4 linked regions of the Drosophila melanogaster genome follow. The protein of the gene in region 1 interacts with the protein of each later gene in a pairwise test. Each region holds a gene or a part of one and is shown in the gene's direction. Other genes may lie near its edges. The genes, in order: CG11523, CG6428, mtgo and Suv3.

Evidence for each region.
Region 2: the proteins of CG11523 (region 1) and CG6428 interact in a two-hybrid assay, tested with the Drosophila melanogaster proteins (one large-scale study listed by BioGRID).
Region 3: the proteins of CG11523 (region 1) and mtgo interact in a two-hybrid assay, tested with the Drosophila melanogaster proteins (one large-scale study listed by BioGRID).
Region 4: the proteins of CG11523 (region 1) and Suv3 interact in a two-hybrid assay, tested with the Drosophila melanogaster proteins (one large-scale study listed by BioGRID).

What each region holds. Positions count from the first base shown.
Region 1 is NT_037436.4:22,265,306-22,268,549, reverse strand, and holds CG11523 (uncharacterized protein), read left to right. Parts: upstream 1-1,870; 5' UTR 1,871-1,995; coding exon 1,996-2,472; 3' UTR 2,473-2,704; downstream 2,705-3,244. Other genes in the region: Csp (cysteine string protein), read right to left, coding at 763-797; Ddx1 (Dead-box-1), read right to left, coding at 2,705-3,150, 3,223-3,244.
Region 2 is NC_004354.4:3,964,881-3,970,333, reverse strand, and holds CG6428 (uncharacterized protein), read left to right. Parts: upstream 1-1,678; 5' UTR 1,679-2,096; coding exon 2,097-2,304; intron 2,305-2,701; coding exon 2,702-2,937; intron 2,938-2,996; coding exon 2,997-3,746; intron 3,747-3,812; coding exon 3,813-4,514; 3' UTR 4,515-4,899; downstream 4,900-5,453. Other genes in the region: CG6414 (uncharacterized protein), read left to right, coding at 257-604, 691-983, 1,045-1,252.
Region 3 is NT_033779.5:16,543,192-16,548,066, forward strand, and holds the start of mtgo (miles to go), read left to right. Parts: upstream 1-1,824; 5' UTR 1,825-2,247; intron 2,248-4,875.
Region 4 is NT_033777.3:4,309,605-4,315,941, forward strand, and holds Suv3 (Suv3 helicase), read left to right. Parts: upstream 1-1,950; 5' UTR 1,951-2,060; coding exon 2,061-2,370; intron 2,371-2,425; coding exon 2,426-2,929; intron 2,930-2,992; coding exon 2,993-3,302; intron 3,303-3,356; coding exon 3,357-3,491; intron 3,492-3,553; coding exon 3,554-4,183; intron 4,184-4,237; coding exon 4,238-4,640; 3' UTR 4,641-5,794; downstream 5,795-6,337. Other genes in the region: MP1 (melanization protease 1), read left to right, coding at 1-15; Vps24 (vacuolar protein sorting 24), read right to left, coding at 369-754, 810-1,050, 1,183-1,227. UniProt on the Drosophila melanogaster protein: Major helicase player in mitochondrial RNA metabolism and maintenance. Likely component of the mitochondrial degradosome (mtEXO) complex, that degrades 3' overhang double-stranded RNA with a 3'-to-5' directionality in an ATP-dependent manner.

The sequences.
Region 1 (3,244 bases):
GTTATTGGATCTGTAGGTCTGTTGTTATCGCGCACTTATGCCGGAATCGGTATGTGTTGCACGAAGACCCAAACATTGAACAATTTAAATAGAACAATATTTATAAAATGAAGTATTCGACTCATTTTTTCTCTATTAAACAATTGAAATCGTGCGATTTGCGGGCAAAAGAGGTGTGGCCAACCGAGAAGAATGCAAGAGGAAGAGGAGAAAGGAAGAGGAAATTCTCATACTGTGTAGTTATAATGTGTAATTCTAATAATGGTCTGTATGTATTACATAGCACATATCTGAATGATATCGGCTCGAGTCTTGATCGATGATGTGCGTAGCCTTTTTTCTACCTTTTACATTTTCCTGCCTAATGCAACATAAGTTGAAACTATGCCACTAAGATTTTAACTAACGATTATTGAAATCAAATAAAAATCGAATTCCGTCAAATGGCCAAATTTGTCCTTGGCCTTGCCCAGGACGAATTCGCTTGTCCGAAATCAAACTCCAGCCGCAGCTGCCCTCCCCTTCCCACTACCGGAGCCCATTATTACCCCTGACCCGGTTCCTTGTTTATCCCGACGTGGAAAGGAAAGTGCCTGCTGGCTCGAGAAAACTTCTGCCGCGAAAAATCAATTTCGCGCCGACCGCGCTGCCTGCGCGCAGCTGCTACTCACACTCGCGCACGGGCTGAGTGTGTGTACTCTGCCGACGGCGCGTGTGTGTGCGCCGTGGAGGAAAAATGAAGGAGCACTACAAAATACTTACGACAGTTTTCTCTTGTCCATGCCAGGTGCGCTCATCCTGATGCCTGTGTCACTTTGACTGCGAACGGGTAACTTGCACTAGCGATCGCTGTCACACGCAGTGAAAGTCTGTGCCTGCCAAGAACCACAATCTGTGCGTGTACTCTTATAATTGCAGTTTTTGACGTCCGTACCGATGCCTCGATTCTTATTTTTTTCGCAACGAAATTAGAGATGGAACTGAACCGATGTTCTATCTTATCGGTTTACCTGCCGACATCAATGATTTCCAGCTCTGGACTAACACGCCATCTATCGCAACATTAATAGCTGCTGTTACGGGACTCACTGTAAGAAATCGCATCGAAAGTGTGCACCAGAGAACTGCAGCAAGCCACTGGCACTCCAAGTGCACCCGCTAAACACTGTTGTATCTAGGCAGCCGGGTGTTTTTTGACACTCTACTTGCGGGAATAAAAAATATCCGACAGTTTTTTATTACGAGCGCAATAACCTTTTCTGGTGAGCGACTCACAAGCAACGATCGGCCGCAGGTCATTTTCTGTATGCATAAAATTTGTATGGGCGGAAGCGAGATTGTCTAAGAAATGAAGGGTGAAAGGGAACACCCAAGGAAAAGGTCGTGCACGTGTTTTTTTTTTTTTGATGCAACCCATTTCGCAGAATATTTTTTTATTAATATTTTTTTATTTAAAAATTAAATTAAGTTTTTTAATTATACAATTACAAAGTTAAATAAGGGAAGCATATATTAAGAACTAATAATAAAATAAAAAAAATTGTCTATTTCGTTTTTTTTTAAATTATTTAATTAAATTAAAATTATTTACAGTTTTGTAAAAAGAATGTAAAAAAGAGGCTATATACAAATTTTGGACTTAATCCATAATCTATACTATGCACCCCTCCATTCCAATTTCAATTATTTAGGAGTAATTTATACTTTCGATACGACAGCAACCGTTTTATATCGGTACGTCTTACGAACTTCTATTAAACCAAAAACTAAGCTAAATTGCATGTAAAATCATTAATAACGATTATATTCAGTTTGGCCGGAACGCCCTGCTCCGCTTCATCGGTCAAAATGTACTAACGCGTGGCACACGCCACACAGCTGCTGTGACACATATGGAGTAGAGTGGAACGACATGTTGCGCCTGTAAAAGGGAATCAGATCGACTGGGATTCAATTAAAAGGCGAGCCGCAGAGCTCCGAAGCGATTCTGTTAGGATGGGCGAACCGAAAGCCACCGCAGACCCTGGGGAGGAGCAGGCCTTCAACTGCGAGGACGAAGCCAACGCCATAATTAACGATGTTAAGGCTCACGTCGCTGAGATTTGCATCTCATCCAAACTGGCAAGCGATGCCACGCAAATTTACCTGAACATCCGGACTATCGAGAGCGCCACTTGCTGCGTTCAGGTGAGCAGTCGTGGCTTCAAGATCGTCTCCTCCCAGTACGACACCATAGACGAGGACAGCCGGATCTCTGCACTGCTTCGCAACGGACAAGAGCAAGGCGACGACGAGGAGGAGGAGATATTTGAAACGCCGTACGCGCTGCTGGACAAGATCAGCCCCCGCTACGTCGAGTCGTTCGGCAACCAGCTGTGCCAGCAGCTTAGAGCGCTGCAACAGATGCGAACCGAGTTCAACGAGGAGGACGAGGAGGAGGAGGAGGAGGCGGAGGAGGAGGAGAAGAAGTGACGGTAACCGGACTCCAGCTTTCAAACGAGGCTGTTTACTCTTTAGACAGACGATTTTAATGTTAGTTTAATTAAATGTTTATTTTTAATAGCAGAGCTTGAGCTCCGACTTCCTACATATACAAAATTGTGTGTTTGTGCCGCAAAAGTATTTCCGCGTGAGTTGGTCTTGCACTTCTCAATTCACCACATCCTTTCCTTGCATAGCAAACAAATGTCGCTCCAGATCCGCGTTAGACCTTAAGACGTTTCAAGAATAAAGATTGTGATTGCAACTCTAGCTCCGTCAGTTTGCGTACAGTTGGCACCAGCTGCTCGACGTGGTCTTCGTAGCCGCTGCCAGTTCTTAAATTCTTTTGACCGTACACGACCTTGCCGTCGAAGTCATTAACTGGCACATCCATGGTCTTGTCCACCTGCTGGATGGTGATGTTCAAGTGGTCCTCAACTTCGGCCAGTAGGTTTGGTTCGTTGTACCAGATGCAGCATCCTCGGACTTCGGTTAAGTTTGTGTTGTTGCAGCTACGGCCGCGCGACTTGCACCACTCGCCGTGGTACCAAACCTTCTCCGGCACTGTTGCCACCAAACTAATGGCCAACCCCATGCGTTCCGCCCTGCCCACACGTCCGATGCGATGAACGTAATTGGTCTTGTCATCGGGCAGCGTCACATTTATCACTGAGGATAAGGAAGTAAATTATTTGGAAAATGGTTTAACGACGGTTATTGTTTCAAAATTTGAGAACTTACTAAACGGCAGCCCCGTAATGTC
Region 2 (5,453 bases), on another chromosome or scaffold:
TAGTACAATTATGCAATTTACATTCAAAGCTAGACGTAGCCTTATAACCAATTTCAATGAAGGCTCTCCAAATCGCCACTTATGTAAATTACTTTTGTTACAATTGATATACAAAACGGAGAGTGTCACCAGCAAGACTTTTGTTGAAAAAAGGTAGAGCTGGTATTGACCAAAAATGAGTACAATGCAGCTGTTATTAAACAAATATGGTGAAGGGAAGGTCAAGCTTTACCTTTAGCTTTCTTTTGTATTGCAGGTCTGGGACTTTGATCCGATGATACCATTTCCGCCCGTGGTCGAACCGGAGCACGATGGCGCCTTCCTCACAGTGGCACCTCGCCAGGCGGCCAAGCCACATGGACTGCAACTTCCACTCATGGTGGGCGCCACCGCCGAGGAAGGTCTCCTGAAGACCGCCGCCCTGCTCAATCTTCCCCAGCTGTTGGCCGAGTTTAAGTCTCAGTTTGAGCAGGTCCTGCCCGTCGTGCTCAACTACGATCATCATGACGATTCCGTGCGGCAAACGATTACGCAGCGCATCGAAAGCTTCTACTTCAAGTCGGGCCACGATTACGACAAGGCCAACCACCAGAACCTGACCGACGTGAGTGGACGGATCGCCAATCTAGATGAATTAAGAGTTCATTAATCCAATCAGCATCTGTGTACAAACTCCTTACTCCATTTTAGCTGATCTCGGATGGATGGTTTGTGGCCGGAATCGATGAGTACTTGCGCCTCCGCATGTCCCAAGAGGACGTGGCCCCCACCTATGTATACCTATTCGATCACAAGGGAGCTGCCAGTTTTACGGAGATTTTCAAGGGCGGCCGAAACGAGTTCTATGGAGCGTGCCATGCCGAGGAGCTCCAGTACTTGTTCCCCATTGGCCGGGAGTTATTTGTGAGTGCGGTGCCGACGCAAAAGGATCTGGAACTCCGCGAATTAATGCTCCATCTGTGGGTTAGCTTTGCGAAGACCGGGTATATGCCATTTAAATATAACTCTTTTTTTTAATCGAAACTAATGATAATTTCTCCACAGCAATCCAAATCCCACGAATGTTAGCTTTCATCTGCCGAACTGGAGTCCCGCCTCTAGTTATCCAGTGGAATTCGCTCGACTGGGCACCAAAATGGAGGACTCCGCATCCATTTTTCGACTTGAAAACGAGCTTATGCAGCACCGGGTCGACTTTTGGCGGGACCTGCAGCCCCATTTGCCCGCCAGTCACGCCCACAACGAGCTGTAGTCGTCCATCAAGTCGTTGTTCAAATTCAATTCACATTTTGTCTCATTCAATTGTTGTATTTCACCACAAATTATAAATTTTACTGTACTTAAATTTTTTGCGCATTTGCCGCCAACTTAACGGGATTTTGGAGCTGCCAGACGGGCACAAGCTTTTGCGCTGCCAGACCTGTGGTATTGAGCAGTTAACCAGTGTTGGGTATTTTGGCACTGATGGCTCAGCGTTGCCGCATCGACGTAAAAAGTTAAGTATGTGTAAACAAAACAATTGAGAAAATAATAGAGCTTTGGCAATAAAAAAAATATATATATATATATATATATATAGAAAAGTTTTAGAAAGGCTAGAAAAATAAAAAGAATTTTGTTATAAGTTAGACAAAATAAAGTCTAATTGGAATTGATATTATGGCACTGCGAACTATCGATAGTCGCACAGCTGATTGGGTGTTTATTTATGACCAAAATATTGCAATCAGCGGAATTTCATTTGAATTTCATTAGATTAGTCATGTACGTCGTGGGCCAAAGTCTGGTGCGGTTATCTATATATAAGTGATTGCGCCGCCGTGATTTGGGCTTTTCGTTTCAATTTCCTCTGCGATAGAGTCCCAATACCACGTGCTATCTCGGCGTCCCCCCGCGAATTATTATTTCACTACTTCGGATCCGATCCGGATTAGCACGATAACGAGTTGGCCAAATAATCATCAACGGCACGGGCTGTTAATGGATTTGCTGTTTACGCGTCGGAACGACACCATCTGAGCAGCCAGTGATAAGGCACACAGCTTCGCAACCGGCGCTCCGCAGTCCATCATCCTCTATACTCTTTACTCTATATTATGGATATTCCCGTCCTGAAGACCAATGGTCACGAGAGGCTGGCCTCGCTGGACAAAAGCATGCCGCCGGCATCGCCCACTCTGCCGAGTCCCACGATCCGCAGGAATAAAAGTGATGGAAAACTCATGGCCCAGGATGTCAAAGAGGCCCGGGTGAAGGTCATCTACACTGGCGGCACCATCGGCATGGTGCGCAACGAGCGGAATGGTAAGCAGCCCAGAATGTCACGAATACGAGGATTCATTGGGATTGCCCGAATCTGTCCATGTAGATAAGATCCCACTTTTACTAACAAGGGGAGTCTTAGAAAATGGCCAGATATGATAAGAGCAATGCACTTGAAAACATTTTATTCGAATAATATGTATGAAAGTTGAAATTGTTGGTATGAATGTAAACAAAACAAATCAATTGGCAGTCAACAGATTGTTGATGCTTCTATTTAAATATTGACTATTTGCTTGCTATTTATTGAGTGGTCTAATTAGGTATTTTAGTAAACATTTGACACACGAAGCGTGACCATAAATCATCATCTTGATTAGGAAACTAATTTGTCACGGAGTTTGTGACTATCAATATTAATATTCTATAATTATCGCAGTGTTAGCTCCCATTCCCAATGCCCTGGTGCGCAGCATCCGCAAATATCCAAACATCCACGATGAGGAGTACGCGCTGCGCCGCTTTGGAGCATCTGCATCGATGGCTCCACTGGTGCTGCCCATTGTGCAGGGCGTAGATCGCCGGGTTATCTACCAGATCTCGGAATATACACCGCTGCTGGACAGCAGCAATATGACGATGAACGATTGGGCGCGAATCGCCAGCGATATTCAGGTACATACATATATATATATATGAAAGGTAATATTAATCCTTTCCAAATTATTGTCTAGCAATCGTACGAGTTCTTCGATGGCTTTGTGGTGCTCCATGGCACCGACACGCTTTCCTACACCGCATCTGCATTGTCTTTCATGTTGGAAAATTTGGGCAAGACGGTGATCATCACGGGCTCCCAAATACCCATCTTTGAGACGCGAACCGATGGCAAGGACAATTTTACGTCAGCCTTGATCATAGCCGGTAACTACATCATTCCGGAGGTTTGCATCTTCTTTGGCCATAAGTTGATGCGCGGCAATCGGACGGTGAAGGTCAGTTCGAATGCCTTAGACGCGTTCGACTCACCGAATGTTCCACCACTGGCCAGGATCGGCATTGATGTGAACGTCGACTACCGCCTGATATTCCGGCCATGCACTATTGAAAGGTTTTGCGTACACTTGAATCTCGACGAGAACGTCGGCTTGCTGCGAATCTTTCCGAGCATTTCGCACTCCACATTCCGGGCTTTCCTGGCGCCACCGATTCGCGGCGTTGTCCTGCAATCCTTCGGATCTGGAAACATACCATCGAACCGAAAAGATCTCATCGATGAACTGCGTGCGGCTGGTGAACGAGGCGTTATCATCATCAATTGTACACAGTGTCCCAATGGCACAGTGGCGGAGATCTACGATACGGGCAAGGTGCTCTGCGATGTCGGTGTAATTCCCGGTTTCGATATGACGCCCGAGGCGGCGCTGGCCAAGCTGGCCTATGTCATCGGCAAGGAGGAGTGGTCACTCGATATGAAGAAGCAGGTAAGTTTCGACTATAATTCAATACATACATAAATATGGATAATCCACAATGTGTGCATTTCATAGATGATGCAGTCAAGCCTGAGGGGCGAACTGACCTCCTTAAAGGCTCCCAAAATGGAGGACTACGACTTGGTGGACGCAGTGGCACGGTCTCTGCACTTGTCCTCGCCCCAAGAACTGGATCAGCTGGGCGAAACGCTCTTTCCGGCCATGATCAACGCCGCTGTGGCCGAAGGTGATCCCAAGAAGATCAACAACTTGAAAGCCTATGGCGCCGACTTGTCGGGCACAAATCATGACCAGCGAACGGCCCTACACTTGGCTTGTCAGCTGGGAAACGTGGAGATCGTTAAGTACCTACTGCAGAACGGGGTGTCCGTGCACGTGCGTGATCGGTATGACCGCACTCCACTTCTGGAGGCTGTCGCCACCGATAGCCACGAGATCATCCAGTTGCTCATCAACTGTGGTGCTCATTTGACGGGCTCTTCGCGAGCGGTGGGCGAGCAATTGTGCGCGGCCGCTGCTAGGGGATCGATGATCAGATTGAAGTCCTATCAATACGCCGGTGCCGATCTTGCCCAGTCGGATCCTTCGGGCAGGACGGCCTTGCACGTGGCAGCACTGCACGGATTTCCGGAGGTGGTGCAATACGTCCTGCCCTATTTCGAGAATCCGAACGAGAAGGACATGCTCGGCCTGACCGCCATGGATTATGCGGAGCGCGGCGGACACGCAGCGGTTATGGAGGTCCTAAAATCATAGAAATCTCTTCCGAACCATACATACCTCGTTCCTTGTTCCTGCAGCATGAAGAAAAAAACAAACACTGGAGGCTAGGGTTATTTCTTTTGTACTTAAGTGTTGCATCTAGTCTAATGGTTCCTTATTATCAGTTTTGCATAACTCGCATATTAACGATGTTGTCGTGGTAGTTTTTATTATTAAGTGTCGAATCCCTGACCTGTTTTTAAGTAGTCCTTATTTACTAATGTATCCATTGTATGCAATAATATTATTAGCCAAAACCAAAAATTAACCAATCATGTCTAAAATTAAGCATCAGACATATTAAACGGTTGTATAACAAGTTATATACACAAACTAGTATAATTTGTTGTATGAAAATAAATAAAATCAATTTGAAATTAATGCAAAATTTTTGAATTAGTTTGTAATCGATTGATTGATTACGAGCGCAAGTGCTATCGAGCCATCTGTCATTCGATAACTTACCAGGGCTTTGTGACCCTATTCAGTTGTTGCGCAGCCCTGGTATCGAATTGTTTTTACGCTGGCATTAATTAGAATTGGTAAATATACATCTGTCAGCGTGCACATAAGAAAGCTCTTACGTTGCAATCTAGTGCTTAGTGGCTTGTAACTCAGAAACCAGGCGAAAATCGACACAAGCGCTGGAAAAACAGCAAACAAAACACACACACAGCCCCACTCGCACACACACAGCCGCACACACACGCACACATCTATAGAGAGGTGCACACGTCAGTGCCACGAATTCCATAAAATAAAAAGAACAACAAGAAACGCAAATTCAAAGCTAAAGACAATTCTAGCCGATCGGAAGCGGATGATATATGTTAGCTATATGGTAAACCCTCTCTCGTTGCAGTCAATGTCGATAGCTAGCGCTGCGCAGCCACCGTGGATATATAATCGGTCCTTCAGATAGCCAGTCCGCAT
Region 3 (4,875 bases), on another chromosome or scaffold:
AGGACAGCGAAATTATTCCTATTCCATTTTTAAGGGAATATACAGTTATTAAAATAAAATATTTTCATACCCAACTTTACTTGGTTAGTCCAAATATTTGTATAGCCCTTTAAGGAGTTTATTATGTTGTAACTTGGATAGAATGGATTCCAGAATAGTTCCGGAAATGACTTGAAACTGTATTTCCGGCTTTCACATTTAATTTACATTTTAGCGTGGACACCTACCGCAATGGTTTGGTTATATGCTAACGCTTTCCTTAAGCTCTTGTAAAAGTTTTGTAAGTACTAGTGTTATACGGAGATTTTGTTAACAATTTCATTGAAGTATTTACATACGTAAGAATTTCAACAGAAATGTATCCTCCCAGTCGGGTTCATTTAAAAGGATTAACGGTATTTTGAAAAATAAATTATACAAAAAGATTTACAATCTATAACGTAGCTTAGAAAATGAATTTCAATTATCATTTTATTATATATTTTATAGAAATTGACTTGAATAATGTGGTGTCCATTGCAAAACGGATTAGCAGGACTAGACTTATATTACGAGTCATTTTTCGATTCTCCCACTTATGTATATTGTTCAATTGACCTTTGATAATACAAAATTGCCTAGATTTCAAATAATATTACGTATACTAAAATTTATATATGTATGAAGTTGTTAGCCAGTTTCTTTCTTTTTTTTTCCATGAAATATTGAAATCTTCCTTCCGTTTTGCTTTGAAGTTCAAGTTATTTATTATTTGTTGTATTCTGCAAACAGCTGTTTGCATTTCGGCCGGCGTCGCAAAAGCAACAATTTTCAACCGCGTAAAGCTTTTGGCCTCTTGAGCCATAATTTCATACAGGTTGCAGGCTTGGAAAAATAACTCAATCTGGACTCACCTACTCACTCTCACTCTCTCCCTCTCCCTCTTCCAACCTTTCCTTTATTCACTCACTCTCCCACGCGATTTTTGGAACAAAAACGACGGCAGAGGAAATGCAGCGCAGTCGACGCCAAAAGGGATATTTTATATTATATATTAAGCCCGTCCTTAAATATGAATTTCCCAATCCTATTCTTATTCAAATTATAAAATGTATATTTAGCTTTAAGTTTAAAATATTGTTAAGTCGTACTCGGCTTCATTACGTAAATATCTTATTCATATAATTTTTGTACACGTAGTGTCACATGATAGAGTAATCAAATAAATGCATTTGGTAATAAGCTGATCTTCTGGACATTCAAATAACTATGCTCAAAAACCTTGCTGGCCCTTGATTCACTTAATAACTCAATTTTAGGACTTTCAGTGGGTGGAAATTTCCCTGGCACCCACGCAAACGAACGGGTTAAAAGATAGTGAAAAAGAGAGAGCGCACGAAAGCAACAATTGCTTACTCTTATGCACAAAGAAAAAATACTAACAACTTCAATTTTTGCATTGAATTACATAGAATTCGATAGAAAAGCCCAGGTCAAATAAAAAATTAAAACAATAATTTAGATAACGACTTATTTGATGTTAGATATTAGATTTAATTCGGTTAATGGGTAAGTTAGAAGAAATAATGTAAATTTTTGCATTGCAATAATGAAGCAATGAAACAAGCTTTACGTTAACGTCACATGAACTACCGTTAGCGAGCGAACAGTGCAGAAAGCGCTCAAGAGCGCGGAGCATTCCAATGCGTTGGAGTAAGAGCGTGCAGAATTCGTGGGAGCAAATTGGCGCCCGAATCAGCCGCTTTTCGTAACTCACTCAATGCGAATTGTTTTCAAGCGCCGGAGAGAATCTATATAGAGGGGCTTCTCCGACTCGCTTCGAATATGTTTTTCGCAGCGCGCGCGTTCGCATCGGAAAATCAGAAAAGCTGGCAAGCGTTTAAAAACAAATTCGGCAGGTACAATTGTTACTTGTTTTCCCCTCAGTTGACTATTTCGTCGCAGGTTTTTGGCCAGCGGAAACCATCGTAATAACCGTTTATCGTTATTTTATTATATTCGCGTAAATCGTTGTTTGTTCAACCACAGAATACTTGTTGTTACGCATTTCGAAAATGGAAATGCGAAAATTTCCAAGCAGTGAAAATCAAAACGAATAAAATATATTGGCTGCTTTTCGTGTTTAGCGCGTACGTGTGTGTTTCTGTGTTAGTGAGTGCAGCAAGAAATAAAACCAAAAAGCAACAAATAAATAAATAGAAAACAAAAGCAAAATCAAATCCAAATTCAAAGGCAAATACTTGCAAAGTAAGTTGATAATATCAGAGTGTGGTGCTAGCATATGTTGCATTATTTTGCCCAGCAATTTACATGTTTTTCACATTTTCTTCTCTCACAAATGACAACTAACTAATATGGATGATATTAACGGTGTTTAGAGTTGGCTTTTCCATTGAGAAATATGAAAAAATGCGTTCAATATGTTAGCGTACACACACACACAAGCGGCGGCTAACTGTTGTTTGTGTGTATGTGGGTGAATTGGCAATAACGCGCACGTGTATTAGTGTGTGTTTGTTTTTGTTGCCTTTGCGGCCAAGTGGCAGCAAAACGTTGCAAGCAACAAAAACAATAACTACGATGGCAAAACAAGTGCAGTCAGCAAAACCAACTCAACCAGTGCCTCTCGCGCTCTCCCACTCTCTCTCTCTCTAATACCCAAGCCCACCTCCTGCTCCCACACTCACCCTTCTCCCTCGCACCCATTGACGCAACTGCATGGTCAGGGCTTCTTTTACTGTTACAAAGCTCATGCGTGGACCCAATAGCAAAATGAATGCACGATGTACTTAGTTCATTAATTCCGCCAAATCAGAAATTATAATTATAAATGTACGAGTTTAATGGATTAAAGTTAGGTGTACGTAATTTTTTTAATTGTATGACCACTTTGGTGAAGCATAACCGTGGTATGAAGCTATTACAATTTCATGAACTTGGCGGCATAAACTTTGCAATTTACTATCTATGGTCGTCTTTGGATTTTTGGCTTCGCGCTTTTTGCTCTTCGAAGTGCGCTGCTCTCTTTGCGCCAAACAAAGCTCGGCCGACACTTGTCGCGTCTTTTGGATATCTGGCCTCCTCCCACCGCCCACTGCCTCTTTACATATATCTTTTACATTTTTTGCTTTCATACACTGAATAAAATTATGGGTATATACCGTACTATCAAATGTTTCTGAGTAAAAATTAATTTAAATAAAAAATTTAATTATATAATTATAAAATTATTATATAATCACTTGTATTTAATGTTGTATGTGTTGCAAATCCATTAATACTTTTAAACTTCTAGGCTTAAAAACAAATGTCTGTGAAAAAAGTGGAATTCTTGGAAAGTGTATCTCTTTGGCTTTTCCACCTCGAGGCGTTTTCGCTTGAAGCTTTTGCGAGTTTGGTTCGATTTCCATTTGCGTTTAATTGCATTTATGCATTTTTAATCGAGTTTGACTTTGGTGAGCTTTTTACTTTGGCATATGCTAGATTGTCGCCCAGACACACGGGGTTTTTTTGGGTGAAAATGGGCTCTTGCTGATCCAAAAGATAAGTTTCAGTTTCGTCCTTCTTGGTAGTGAGATGTTTGGACAAAGTTTTCTAATTGGCCTTGACGCCGTTTTCAGAGTTTTAGTGCTACTAAAAGGCAAGAGTGCGAACTTTCTGCGTCTTTAATAAGATAATTTATTTGCAATTATAATTTGGTTCATTAAAGTTAATTGAATTAAGGGCAGGCGTTACATTCCAACCAAATGGAATGACAATGGGTGTGGGGTTAAAGATAAAAGGATTTTAGTTAGTGAGGAATATATTTTGTGATAATAACGGGTAATTAAATTTTTTTTTATTTTAAACTGAACCGCTATTAGGCAATTTTGGGCATTAAATAGTTAAAAGCTTTAGATACACAGTTTCAATGCGGTATACAAAACTTCATTAATTTTCGATTAATCTAGTATTTTTATACTATAATTTAAAAACCTTACGTCATTTATTGTTTTAAATCAAATTTTAAATTTAAATATTTTAAGATATTCCACTTCTCCAAAGAGGTTTTTTTCGAACAATTTTTAACTCACAGCCAACAGCTGTTGCATCCTAAGCAAACATTTGTATGTTTAACTTAGTCCTCTTGAAAGCTCAATTAAAGTCGCGTGTATAACCGCCCACTACCCAGGGATTCTCTAAACTTCTACACTCCGAACACACACGCCAAGTTTGCAACTTGGCATATGTTTATCTGCTAATCATGGAAATGCGATGCGGTGTTGCAAAATATTTATCTAGAAACGGTTGACTAAAAAAGAGGGAAATAAGCGAAACAGCTTTTCAGCCAAACTGCAAATGGGAAAGCAGCCCCCTTACCGGTTTCCCACTTTTCCGGCACGGCGACCATATGCCAAAAAGCTGAACCAAAAATCGCACACACATTTGGGGATAAAACGCGATGCGAAAAAAGCATAAGTAGGCTGCTGTGACATTTCGTTGTCTGGGTATACGCTCATCGCGAACAAGGATACAGGAGCATTAGGGTGGAGCAATTTGTTCGAAGCTAAATATAAAAAACTTCAATATTGATTAAACTTGTTCATGCATATAGGACTTAAACTAAGTAAAGATCTGAACTAAAATTAAGTGCTTTTTTTTTAATAGAAGAAATATTAAGATCAGCTATTTTTGCGGACTGTTGATTTCCTTTTAGCGCTTAAACCTTTATAAGAATATACTTGGCATTTCAAGACTTTCGTAAATTCAGAACTTGGCTTAGATTGACGCACCCTGATAAAAGCACACTTATAAAGGCACACATTTGTATATCCGCACATCGGCACACACAAATAATTCGCCGTGCTATGTATGCCAGTATGCCGAAAAAAAGGG
Region 4 (6,337 bases), on another chromosome or scaffold:
AACGTTAGGGCTTAATCTTAAATGACGAAAATTAACATTCTTAGGGATTGATCGTAAATCGTGCAGATTACCATTGTAAAATGGGACATGCCACAGTAAATATCGATTTTTAATGAAAGGTAGATTTTACAATAAATTAAGTTATCTCGTGTAGATTCAACGGTAAAACGCGCAGAGTTCAACACTTCTTGATCTGGTGTACTGTACACTTATAATATAAAAACTCAATTCAAGTTTCTGGAGATTATTTTGGTTTCTACAATCAAATGACGGCGTGGGGGTTGCCGTTTATGATTTTGATAAGGTCTGCCAGTCAAAATCACTTGCCTTTAATTTCAAATCTAAATAAAATACCCATAGCAGTTGTTTTAAGATCGCAGCGAGGCCAGGCGGCTTTGCATCTCTTGCAGTTCCTCACCCTCCTCATCGTCCTGCTCAGCCTCGACGCGCGCAGCAGACGCAGACGCCTTGTCCGCCGGTGTAGCCTCTGGAGGCAGGGGAGCTTCCCCGAGCTTGCCATCTGTGATCTCCCACAAAACCTTGTCCACCTCCTTGCTTGCCTCCTCCTCCAGCTCCTCGGACTCCTCCAGCGAGTCCATGGTCTCGTCTAGCATCTCCTCAATAATGCCGGCCTTCATCATTTCCTTTGACATGTCGCGCATGATGCCTGCAAGCTCTGGATAGCGCACCAGGCTCTGCATAGCTTGCAAGACCTCTGTAGACTTTTGCAGAGATCCAGCTACACGCAAGGTGGCTGCAAGGAGGATTCGATAATCAGGTCGTATCAAACAAGCGAAGAGTTCACTCACATAGCTGATTTTTCATCTGCATCTGAATGGAGTTGAGGTGCGCCTTCGACGTATATATGCGGTTGATGGCCTTTCGCGCATTCACAATCTCCTTGGCAAGAATGACGCAGGTGTCGCGGTCATTTTTCTGTGCTGCCTGTTTCAGCGAGCGTTTTACTTTCTCTTCCTCGCGCTGGATACTTCGGATCTGGCGATCCAGCTGGTTGCCCTCTTTCCGTATCTTATGCGTCCACTCCTGCACCTAATGGGAATTTACATTTCAAAACAATATTCATAACGCACAATGGACAGATGGGGAAAGGTCTAATAAAATCAATCCAACTGGAATGACATCATTCCCAAAAAAATCACTGCCACGCCTCTGCGTCGTTACCTGCTCTTTGGGATCTTTACTGGGAGTTCTGCCGAATAAGCCCATGGCACTAACTGTTATGATAATTGTCTGGAATTGTTATTAAAATTCTTTTTTTGTTTAAACAAACAAGTGAGTCATTTTATTTTGATTCTGACAAACAAACACAGCGTTGCCAATATATATGACTTCTTGTTAGCATAGCCAATCATCGATAGATCGATATATTTAAAGAGTTTTTATTATTAAGTTTTAAAATTGCTTATAAGGACATTAACATTTAATCTACCGATTATTAAATAAATTTTATTATTTGCGTATGCTGGCTTAGAATACGTAATTGTTTTTCATTTTATCGATTTTATGAAAATATTTTTAAAATATTCCATATATAAAGCGAGACTGTATTGCGAAAAAATGCAATGCCAAATACCGATACTACATTTTTTAACGACTATTGTGGAATCAATTTTCATTTTTTCATTTTTATTTATAAATATTTTGCGATTGCCTAGGAACAACATATTTTATTTGCTTTTTATTGTAAATGCATATATGTTCTCAAATATCCTATTTTATATCCGTCGTAATACAATTAAATGTTTTAATACTTTTTTAAAATATTTTTTTAGTATAAATTAAATTCCACAATCGTTTTTCTGATGTGTTTTCTAAAACTAATTTTTTAATAATTTTTCAAAAGAATTCCCCGCATACGTAGCATAAAAACCATCGATATGGCAATGCTATTCTGTAAGAGCATTGTCAACCCAACAACCAGATGTGCGTCAGCTGATTGTACTTCTCTGTTATATCAGAGATAGGAACGTGAGTACGGAGATTCATTTTGCGGGAATTGGTGAATAAAAACCACGCGTGTTCCACTAAAGTGGACAACCATGCAAAACTGCAGGCGCTGCATCAGCCTAACGGGCCTTTTGCGGATGACACTCTACCTGCGTCCGTCCTTTTCAATTGATTTGTCCCTGCGCCGACTGCATCGTGCGGCCTTTTTATTTTCTCGAAAAAAACCGGAGACGAACTTGTCCACGTTGTTCAAGCCAGTACAGGTGCACGCTTATGTGGATTCAGAGGACGTAGGTTCCGAGCTGTCGGGCAAACTGGAAAAGGCTGAGCTGCTGAAGATTCTTAATAAGTTCACCCAACGTCGCGAAATCAAGTCACTATGCAACGAAAACGGACTGGACGGTACGTATGCACCTGTTTCCTATGGTCCCTCGTCTTACTTTGCATCCGTTACAAGACTACCTACAGCAACAGGCCTTTGGCTCATTCCGAAGATTTTGCATCGAGGCAGAAAACCTTCCAGTAGATCTGCACATAACCTTTAGCGATATAACACAGGGAGCGGGTCATATCGATGACATCTTCCCGTACTTCCTACGACACGCAAAGACAGTATTCCCGCACCTGGACTGCATGGACGACCTGAAAAAGATTTCCGACCTGAGGCAGCCTGCCAACTGGTATAGCAACGCTCGCGCCATCACCCGAAAGATTGTTTTTCATGCCGGACCCACAAACTCCGGTAAGACTTACCATGCCATGGAGAGATACCTGAGTGCGAAGACTGGGGTCTATTGCGGGCCACTAAAGCTTCTAGCCACTGAGGTGTACAACAAGGCCAATGAACGTGGCACTCCCTGCGATCTGGTCACAGGCGAGGAGCGCAAATTCGGCATCAGCGAAAGTTTGCCAGCCAATCACGTCGCGTGCACTGTGGAAATGACCTCGGTGAATACTCCATGTAAGCAAGTCCAGTTGTTTCCCTGCTTCGCTGAGTTATAATGTGCTGATTTTTCTGTTTCAGATGAGGTGGCTGTAATCGATGAAATACAACAGATCCGCGACCCCCAGCGGGGATGGGCTTGGACGCGTGCCTTCCTTGGACTGATCGCGGATGAAGTGCATGTTTGTGGTGAGCCAGGCGCATTGGACCTCCTGCAAAAAATTTGCGAAACCACTGGCGAAACTGTTGAAGTACGGCTGTACGATCGGCTTACGGAGCTGACTGTCGAAAATACCGCTTTAGGATCATTGGACAATATAGTTCCTGGCGACTGCATTGTGTGCTTCAGCAAACATGATATTTATACGGTTTCACGAGAAATCGAAGCACGGTCAGTTTTGTTAAGTCATTATTTTCAACTGATCCCTAAAACTATTTTTTTTAGAGGGAAGGAGGTAGCTGTGATATATGGGGGCCTACCCCCAGGTACCAAGCTAGCCCAGGCTGCTAAGTTTAATGATCCCGCCAATAGCTGCAAGGTAATGGTGGCGACTGACGCCATCGGTATGGGCTTGAACCTGTAAGTAAAATATTCTATATATGTGGCTTGCCAAAATATAATGCCCGCGAATGTACTTGCAGGAGCATTCGTCGAATCATATTTTACTCACTGATCAAGCCGTCGATGAATGAGCGAGGCGAGCGCGAAATCGACACAATATCGGTTTCGTCCGCACTTCAGATTGCGGGAAGAGCGGGCCGGTTCCGAACTCAGTGGGAGCACGGATATGTAACTGCCTTCAAGTCCGAGGATTTGCAAACCCTACAGCGGATATTGGCTCGGACACCTGAGCCGATAAAGCAGGCGGGCTTGCATCCTACGGCCGATCAGATTGAGCTTTACGCCTACCACCTGCCAAGCTCGTCTTTGAGCAACCTAATGGACATATTCGTGAATCTGTGCACTGTCGATGATTCTCTATACTTTATGTGCAACATTGAAGACTTTAAGTTCTTAGCCGAAATGATACAACATGTTGCTCTGCCTTTGCGGGCTCGCTATGTATTCTGCTGTGCACCTATTAATCGAAAGATGCCCTTTGTTTGCTCAATGTTCCTTAAGGTAGCACGGCAATACAGCCGCAACGAGCCTATTACCTTTGATTTTATAAAAAAAAACTGTGGCTGGCCATTCAAGCTACCCAAGACGATATTGGACCTGGTCCATCTTGAGGCCGTCTTTGACGTGATGGATCTGTATCTTTGGCTAAGGCAAGTCTCGCACAAGTGCGCTTCAGAAAAAATCTAATCAAACTTGTTTTGCAGCTATCGGTTCATGGATCTCTTCCCTGAAGCGGCCTACGTGCGAGATGCCCAGAAGGAACTGGACGAAATTATACAGCAGGGCGTTTTTCAAATAACTCGCTTGCTTAAAAATACCGAGGCGAGTCAGGACGGAGAAACATCAAACTATGCAATCCGCCGAATAACGCACGTGAAGGAGCCTCGTCTACCCAGCTTGTCGCGTGGCCGTCTCACCGAAAGGTTACTTGCACAGGGTCTTCTTACCCCAGGCATGCTTAGCGAGCTACGCAAGGAATGGGACGCCCAGCAACTTGGCAAATCCAATTCGCAATCTAATGAAAATTCGGAACCAGTGGTGAATAGTGACGACGAGGATAATTACTCAGGGATCGGGCGAAAGACAAGGAAAAAACGCAGAAAATGAACGTGCCAGCTCAGGATTAGTTAGAATACGAAATAAGTAGGTAAGAAATGGATTTTTATATAATATACTTTTATTTTAAGTGGCAATTAAGTTATATTAAAATTATTTAGTTGATAATTAACAATGGCAATTTAATTGTTTAAATTTAAAAGTTTTATTATGTTATCTCTGTCAGAAAAAGAAAATGAATTTGTTTTTTTTTTTTTTTTTGCAATTTATGGAGGGACGCAGAGTCTGAACAAAGACACTAGAATTATTAGACACTAGAGTTATTCTAGTGTCTTTGGTCTGAAACACTTGACAAAAATGAACTTTGTGTCAAGGCTAACAGCCGTTGCACTGTTGAATTTAGAAATATGTAATACCGACATTAACGATTTCGATTAGTTAGTTAAATTTATCCTCGCTGTCCTTCCCAAATGAAGTTATAGACTTAGCTTATATATGGCCTTTGCAGTAATAAGGAGCACCAATTCATTCGAATTGCGGTTATAAAATATTCGACACTTAAAACATACAGATTTTTAAAAGATATAAATACTCTGAATATGATTCAACATACAAATTAATATTACGCTGGATGCGCATGGCAACACCTTAATAGTTTTGCTTTTTTAGGTTTCGATTTAATTTGAGTTTAAAAAACAATTTCTTTAAATATTTATTAAAGCTTTAAGGTTTCTCTTTTTATAAGTTTAACTTATATCATTCTTGCGCTCTAATGCAAAACCAAAGTACTTTCATTTCATTGACCATTGCAAAATCCAGCCACAACGACCGTCAACGATAGTCAGATACTTTAGCGGAGCAGCTAAATACATATGTGCTCTTTAGTCCGATCCCTAAATCGAAATAAAGCTCTAATAAAATCCATCTTCTCGCCTGGCACGCGAATCGGCATGCTTGCATTCACAGATGTCCTAGTATTTTTACCAACATTTTTTCCAACTTATCTTCGAATGTAGAATATGTATTTGTGCGTTCGAATTCTAAGGTACCGATACTTTTGTATTTCTTTGAATATCAAAACTGGAACATGCGCATGGCTCTTGATCAAAAAACCAAGAGTTACCTATGTACGTAGGTTTGTTAAGGTATGTAAGTTGCAGGTTTGATGTATTGTATGTACGTATGCATTGGCTACAATTGTTCCTATGTGTTTTCGGTTTTCATATTTGGGTAATAAAAAAGTGCTAGTCTCAACAGACTTTGGGCATCTTATGCCGGGCTTAATATTTAAATATAAGATGCAGAAAGGTAAATTACAAAAATTCGTCACTCATCCGTAGCTTGCACAGATGTACAAATGTACACTCAAAATCTTAAATACGCTCTATTCGGACATCTGATATTTCATATAGTATTCTTTATCACAAACAATCATAAAATTCAAATTTCGAGTAGTTATACATATAAGTACTGGTATGTACTTTTCGTGTATGTACTTGCGTATAAAATTTGAGTATTCTGGTTATTCTTGTTCGCTTTCATATTTCATATTTCCTACATTTTATAAACAAAATGTGTGCCAAATTGATTCCAAATTACAAATATTTTATGGCCCAGTCTAGGCTAGATTGTTCGGATGACCCTACCTCTTGGTCGGTCTCATCCTGAGCCAAGCACTTGACGACAGCAGTCGTCATTTGGCATCGACCTTGTAAAAACAAATCACAAACACAGACCTCTGCTTTAGA